Canis lupus familiaris: one gene and its partner. The protein of the gene in region 1 interacts with the protein of each later gene in a pairwise test. Links are inferred from orthologs where the notes say so. Each region holds a gene or a part of one and is shown in the gene's direction. Other genes may lie near its edges.

Region 1 (3,744 bases):
AGTTGAAGCCCAGATCCCTAACCTGAAATGAGTTTATCCTATCTCTGGGCTAGAGAACCCCTGAAACTACGTAGGAATGAGACCTCCCTGCAAAACGAGAGCACCTACCTACTGCCAATCTCTTAAATTCAATATATCCAAGGTCAGCTACCCTAACCTCAGCCATAACCCCCATAAAACTAACCCTAATCCCTAATATTAACCCTGACCCTAATTTGGTTCCTGTTTCCCAACACTGGCTTTGACATTCATCCCTTTCCTGGCAGACACCCGTCCCCAATCCTTGATCCCTAATATTGATCTACTTTTTACCTCTAGGAATGAATTTCCTGACCTTAACTCTAAATGTTGATCTCTAAGCCTAAAACTGTTGTCTCACTTGACTTCTGATCCATCCCTTCGCGATTTATCCCTAGTTCCATGCTAATGTTCTCTAATCCCTAAAAAACTGGACTTCTAATTTAAATCCTGTGTTGACCCTTAAACCGGCCCTGAACCCTAACTTTGACTTACGTTGGCCAGAAACAGAATAATGACCTAATCCAAACTCTACCTACATAAAACGGACCCGACTCACACTGGTAACTCTAAATGTCAACTCCGGTTTTTAACTCCGTAAGCTAACCTTTAATTCCTAAACCCAACTCTACCTAATTCCCAAACTCACCCCCAGCTTTCCTACCCGCATACTCACTATCAGCTAACCTCAAAGCCGATCCCCGCCCTGCGCCTCACTGTCACCCAACTCCTCACCCTCCCCAAAACTTATTCCAGACAGAGAGGACTTGATCCCAGGAAAGGCTTGGCTCCCTTAAAACGACCTACTTAACTTCCGATCCCAAGCCGAGATACACTGGACGCTGACCTCTCCAACAGGACCCGAAACAGCGGACGCAAGGGCCCCGCCCGCCCTGCCACCCGCGCTGCCACCCGCGCTCGCGCTCGCTTCCCGGTCCTGGCCGTGCGGCCCCACCCTGAGGCTCCGGCTCGGCCCGGTCCGGCCTACCTGCGCTGCCCGGCTCGTGCCCCGCCCGCCGGCCCGATAACCCGCTCGCTCTCCCGGTGGTAATCGGGCTTCGGCCTCGCCCTCCCTTCGACACTCTCTCGGCCACTTCCGTCCCCGGAACGTCCCCCACCCGCGGGCGGCGCCCTGGGCCCGCGCTCTATGGTTGTGGGGGCAACAGGAAGCTGCTCTGGCCCCAGCTCTCGATGCTCGGGAGCCGGCCTTAAAAAGGCGCCCCCCCCCGCCCCCCGGCCGGCTCCCCCGGCAGGAAACAAGGGTGCGGCGCAATCCGGGAAGACGCCCGAACTGCGCGCGAGTTCCCCTTTGGTCTCTAACCCTTCCTTTTTTTTCAGCCTGGGGCCGAGGCGGAGGCGGCCTCCCAGATTGCCCGCCCTCAGGGTGTGAGGAGGCCGCAGGGACGTCCCCTCTATTTGCAGAGCTCCCGGGACGTGGCGCGCCGCGGCTAGGCCACTTCCGCGTCGGAGGGAACTCCAAATCCCGTGGTGCCTCGGGGGTGTGCGCGTCACTTCCGTGGTGTTGGAAGTTGCGGAGAATCGGGTCTTGGGGGCTGGTGCAATTTCAGAGCGACAGGTCCGGGCTTGCGGATAGGTCTCTCTGTACATCTTTCCGGTTGTTATCCGGTATGGAGCTGGCGTTGGACTTGGGTGACCAGGACCTGCTGGATTTCCTGCTAGAGGAAAGCGGCGATTTGGGGGCCGGGCCGCCGCTTTCCGAGGTGGGTGGGGGCTGCGAGCCGGGGAGGCGCGGGGATCCCGGGAGAGCGTTCATGGGGTGGTGGGTAGTTGATAGGTCAAGGCTTGTTTATTTGAACCCTGTGCAGGCGTTGAGTGAATGGGAGGCAGAGGATTTCCTGAGTTCCATGCTGAGTCCCCCAGCATCGTTGAACGTCCTTAGCTCCTCTGATTCCTGTCTCGTGCACCATGATCACACCTACTCTCTCTCACAACAGCATGTTTCCATAGATCTAGGTGAGTCTGAAATATGATGAGGAAGAAAGTGAGGTTTGAGGGGAGGAGAGGCTTCGTGGGTCTGGCTATTTATACTTTTCGTTTTGCAGATGGTGGGAGCTATGGAAAAGAAGAGGCCCAGACGACCCCACTGCAAGTGGAGGAGCCCGCAGAGCAGGTACTTGATTTATGGCGGGATCATTCCCACATTGCGCGGGTGGGGGCGGATTCCCCATTCCTTTCTGTCATCCCCTTGCAACTCTGCTGCCCACCTCCTGGTAACTAATCCCAGGAGATTGCTAGGCTGATACTGACAGATGAAGAGAAGAGGCTGTTGGAGAAGGAGGGGCTTACTCTGCATGGGACGCTTCCTCTTACTAAGGTAAGACTCCCATTGGTGGGAGTGAAGGCTGGAGGGATGTGTTGTGGATCCCAAGTGTGCACTTCTGTTAACTTTATGTCAGGAAGGACTGAGGTTAGAAAACTTGGCAAATTTGTTGGTAATAGGAAGCTGGAGCATGATGTTAATATGGTGGATGCAGAGGCAGATCCTGGTTTTGTGGGGCTCATACAAGTTTTGGTGTTTTCTTTGAGAAGAATTCAAAATCATCGATGCAACATTAGTGTAGGGTCTTGGAAGGGACTGTGCAAGCAAACTCATGGTAATCCACCTGTAGCTAAATGGTTAGAGTTCATCAAGGCTGGACTAAGTAATATAGCAAGAATAATTGTAAAATCCCAAGTTTTAAGTTTCAGGCAATGAATAGCAGCTTCACAAGCACAGTATTGTGGTACTGTTGTGAAACCAACACTACAGGAAGGTTGAGAGAATTTTCTTAAAAGTACAAGATGGGTTAGTTTGAGATGACAGAGAGTGGGGTTTGAAGGCTGTATCAGTAGAGGTGTTGCCTCTAGAAGGGCAGTGACCATCTTCTTCTCCATTATACTGGCCAGAGCACATCTTAGTGTCTAGTTTTGAACCCAGATCTTTGACAGATATTAAGAGGATGCAGTCCATCCCGAAGAGAGGTGAGAAGTTAATTTTTTTTTTTTTAAGATTTTACTTATTTATTCATGAGAGACACACAGAGAGAGGCAGAGACACAGGCAGCGGGAGAAGCAGGCTCTATGCAGGGAGCCCGATATGGGACTTGATCCTGGGACTCCAGGATCGTGCCCTGGGCTGAAGGGAGGTACTAACCTGCTGAGCCACCCAGGCATCCCGAGAAGTTAAAATTTTTGCCCAGATCTTTTAACTCTGAAGAAATGTTAAATGGCTTAAATTAAAGACTGTTCATTCTGGGATCCCTGGGTGGCTCAGCAGTTTAGCACCTGCCTTCAGCCCAGAGCGTGATCCTGCAGACCCGGGATCGAGACCCACAGCAGGCTCCCTGCGTGGAGCCTGCTTCTCTCACTGCCTGTGTCTCTGCCTCTCTCTCTCTGTGTGTGTGTCTCTCATGAATAAGTAATAAGATCTTAAAAAAAAAAACAAAAAAAAAACCTTCATTCTATATGGTCTCAGAGATAGGTACCAGGTAAGTTCAATTGATAGAAATCATAGAGGCAGATGTCGGTTAGCTTAGGATAAGGAAAATTTAAAGATTTTTTTTTAAAGGTTTATTTATTTTAAATCTTTTTTTTTTTATTTTTATTTATTTATGATAGTCACAGAGAGAGAGAGAGAGAGAGGGGCAAAGACAGAGGCAGAGGAAGAATCAGGCTCCATGCACCGGGAGCCCGATGTGGGATTCAATCCCAGGTCTCCAGGATTGC
Region 2 (3,744 bases), on another chromosome or scaffold:
CAGTTCTACCTAAATCCTGAGGAATAAGATCACTTCCAGCTGCAGCAAGCAGGAAGGACCTAAAGGAGGTACTAACAATTCAAATGCACCTTCAAGATAGGGAAGGGGAGTCTTCCTGGAGGAGACAGAGTGTGAGCTGAGGGGTCAGGGAGCCCGCTGTGCTCAGGCACAGCCCAGCTCTGCTGCAGCTGGGGTAGATGGTCTCAAAGTGTGGGTCCTGGACCAGCGGATTAGCAACAGATGACGTTGCAGCCCCCTCCCACCACTAGGAACAAGTGCCAGCAATCTGTGCTTCCACAAGCCTGCCAGGTGATTCAGATGCCTGCCCAGGTTAGGAAGCCACGGGCAGAGAGAAGCTGAAGCAGATGGGTCAGGTCGCGTGCCTGTGTTGGTAAGCCTCCTGGGGTTACGTGTACCCGTGCACACACGTTTCTCTGTAAGGGACTACGCGTTGCACTAATCTTACGAAGGCTGTAAAACATGTTGAGAATAGGAAAGGGACAAAGGAGAAGAGAAGCTCCCCTGTTCTTCCAACATCCCGCTGAGGTGGTGGGTGGGGGCTCCTCCTGACCGCAGCCAGGTGATGGGGTCCTGCTCGGGTCCTCACCTGCGGCAGTAAGAGAAAGTGGCATTTGGCGGAGGGAGCAGGTGGGCCTCCTACGTGGCCATCGCAAGGTTTTCCCGGAGAAAACTGCCTTTCCCACGGCAATCCTTTGTGGACAGGCTAGCCCGCGAGAGCCGGGCCCGGTTCCGGGAGCCTCGGCGCCGCGGCAGTCACCGCAGCGGGGCTCATTTTTTATGACGACTTGTCAGTGCGTGAACAAGCTATTCATGCTCCTTCGATGTTACTGAAGCTTTAGCATTTTTGCCAGAGCTGGTGCACGTGTACTGTTAGATTATCTTCGCTTTTTGTTTATCGATTTTTTTTTTTTTTTTAAAGATTTCATTTGAGAGCAAGAGGGGCTGGGTGGGGAGGTGCGGACCCCGGGGTCGGGACCTGAGCACACGCTCCACCGACTGGGCCACCAGCTGCTTTGATCAACGTTTTATTTTTATTTTTCTATTTTTTTAAAGATTTATTTATTTATGATAGAGAGAGGCAGAGACACGGGCAGAGGGAGCAGCAGGCTCCATGCGGGGAGCCCGACGCGGGACTCGATCCCAGGTCTCAGGAATCGCGCCCTGGGCCAAAGGCAGGCGCTAAACCGCTGCGCCACCCAGGGATCCCCTGATCAATGTTTTAAGGGAGACTTTTGAGGCCCAGTTTACCTTTCCAGGCTTCCTGGGGCGTCGCTCCCGCGCCCCGAGGCGCCGGCTCCCCCGCCGCCCTCCGCCGCGGGCGCTGCGGCAAGAGGCCCCGCCCCGGAAGTCGGGCCCGCCTCGCCCGGAAGTCAGCCGTCCCGCCCCCAACCCCGGAAGTGGGCGGCCCGCCGCGCGCCGCGAGGTCCCGGCTCAGCGCCCGCGGGGTCGTGTGTTCGGTAGGCGCGGGGGTCGGGCCGCCGTCGGGGCTGCGGGCGGGCTGCGGGCGGGCTGCGGGCGGCGCGTGGTGGCGGGAGCGCCGGGCGCGGGGGCCCTGGCTGTGGGGAGCCGCTGACCCCCGCGCCCGCCGCCGTTCGGGCAGCCCGGTGCCGCGCCGCGGAGCCCACCCTCGGTGCGTGCGCGGAGAGCCCGGAGCCCCGCCTGCTGGGTGCCAGCCGCGTCCGCGCGCCTCGGTCCGCGGGCCGGCAGCACCCGCCCCCGGCCCCTCCCCCCTTCCCCCGTCGGTCCCCCCTCCCCCTCCCTCCCCGCCGATCCCTCCCCCCGCCCCCCCGCGCCTCGGCCGCCCGAGGACGCTCGCAGTTCCCTTTCTTGGCGGGGACCGCGCGCTCCGGGAGGCTGCGCCGGGGCGAGGCTCGCGTGCTGCTGGGGCCGCGGGTTCCCGGTGCCCCCGGGCCGGCTCCCCGCGGGCGGGCGGTTGGACCCCAGCCGCGGTCTGCCCTCGCCCTTCCCCAGCCCGTCTGCGTCGGAGCGCTGCCCGCCCAGGCCCGGGATGTACATGCAGGTGGAGTCCCGCAGCAGCTCCTGCCTCCATCTGAAGAGGGCTCCGGGCATCAGGTCCTGGTCTTTGCTTGTTGGTAAGGATTTCCGTATTTCCCCCAAGCTAAAAACCTAACTTTAAAAACACGGAAACAGGGATCCCCGGGTGGCACAGCGGTTTGGCGCCTGCCTTTGGCCCAGGGCTCGATCTTGGAGTCCCGGGATCGAGTCCCACGTCGGGCTCCCGGTGCATGGAGCCTGCTTCTCCCTCCTCTTCTGTCTCTGCCTCTCTCTCTATGATAAATAAATAAATAAATAAATCTTAACTAAAAAATAAAAAAATAAAAACAACGGAAACAAAACTGTCTTGTTGCCCCCAAGTACAACAATTATCTCATATCTTTCTAGCTTTTATCCTCCGTGCGATTGTCCTTTTTCCACCTTCACCTTAAGGTTGTGCCTGTTCTCCCGAGGTCCTGGTGTTCTCCTTTTCCTTGCCTCCCAATGCCCGGGTGCGGGCGTCAGGCTGGGCGGTGGGCCCCAGTTCGCTCCTTCACTGTCCCTCTGGGCGTCCAGCACGCGGGGGCAGCTGCAGGCCATTGGTGGGCCTGGTGTGAGGAGTGGTGTGGCTGTGCCTTCAGCAGCCTGCCTCTGGTCCGTCATTCCCGACACCCTGCTCGTGGCCACCTGCCTGTAGTGCTTCATGTGCCACACGTGGTCCTTGCGCACATGCTGCGCTGGTAGAGTAAACCCCTGCTGTCCGGCTCCTCCCTCTGGTTCGCTGGTCAGCCCTGGAGCCCCAGGTAGAGGAACAGATTCCCGGAACGCAGAATGGCATTTGCCATGGTCCCAAGCGCGCCTCCTGCCTCTTGCCCTCCTTCCTGAGCCATGGTCTCTGGTTCCCCTGCTCCCCACCTCCAGGCACCCTGGCACCAGGAAGGCCTGCTCTCCCTGCACCTCTGGGCCTGTGGCTCCAAGTGAGGGGGCCCTAGGCCGCTGGTGGCCCAATAGAAGCACCTGCTTTCTTTTCTCTTTGCAGGAATCTTGTCCATTGGCCTGGCTGCTGCATACTACAGTGGAGGTGAGGTGCATCCCCCTGCCTCCCTCCCCTCCCCCCTCCCGCCCACCCTGTCACTTAGTCTGTTTGAGAAATAGAGAAAAGAGAGAGAGAACTCACCATTAGTGGTGCCCACTGAGCCCCAGCCTTTGGGGCCACAGGCACCTGTGCAGGTGCTGCCCCAGCCTGAGCACTGGTGCATCCTTCCTAATAGCCTGTCCCGTGCCACCTGTGCTCTTCCCTTCTCGTATCTGGAGCACTTTCCCTGGTGATGAAACTTTCTTAAAAGGTGCTCTTGTATTTGCCTGAGGCTGTTGCAGGCTAAGCCACACTTGTAGCTGCTCCTGCAGGTGGCTCCCTCCACCGTCACAGTCACACCGTGTCTCCAGCAGATGCTGCAGGGAGAGTGGAGGGCACAGAGCTGGCCGGACATTTCACATATGGTTCCAAGTGACAGGCAGGGCCAGCAGTGCCGGGCGGCCACCCTGGGCCAGGTCTGCTGGCCCCAGGTGCCACCCCTGCCCGGTATCGGCTGGCGAGGGGGCCCATGGCACGCAGGCCTCCGCCCGCTGCTGCTGCCCCTCACCCGCTGCCTGTTGTTTGCTCTGCAGATAGTTTGGGCTGGAAGCTCTTCTATGTCACCGGCTGCCTGTTCGTGGCCGTGCAGAACC

Evidence for each region.
Region 2: the proteins of CREB3 (region 1) and CYBC1 interact in a two-hybrid assay, tested with the Homo sapiens proteins (2 studies listed by BioGRID and IntAct). The two-hybrid records come from large-scale screens. The link is inferred for Canis lupus familiaris from reciprocal best matches to the Homo sapiens genes CREB3 and CYBC1.

The regions. Positions count from the first base shown.
Region 1 is NC_049232.1:52,553,994-52,557,737, forward strand, and holds the start of CREB3 (cyclic AMP-responsive element-binding protein 3), read left to right. Parts: upstream 1-1,250; 5' UTR 1,251-1,646; coding exon 1,647-1,739; intron 1,740-1,844; coding exon 1,845-1,992; intron 1,993-2,081; coding exon 2,082-2,149; intron 2,150-2,263; coding exon 2,264-2,353; intron 2,354-3,744. UniProt on the Homo sapiens protein: Endoplasmic reticulum (ER)-bound sequence-specific transcription factor that directly binds DNA and activates transcription. Plays a role in the unfolded protein response (UPR), promoting cell survival versus ER stress-induced apoptotic cell death.
Region 2 is NC_049230.1:759,938-763,681, forward strand, and holds the start of CYBC1 (cytochrome b-245 chaperone 1), read left to right. Parts: upstream 1-1,391; 5' UTR 1,392-1,478; intron 1,479-1,992; 5' UTR 1,993-2,029; coding exon 2,030-2,114; intron 2,115-3,055; coding exon 3,056-3,097; intron 3,098-3,684; coding exon 3,685-3,744. UniProt on the Homo sapiens protein: Functions as a chaperone necessary for a stable expression of the CYBA and CYBB subunits of the cytochrome b-245 heterodimer. Controls the phagocyte respiratory burst and is essential for innate immunity.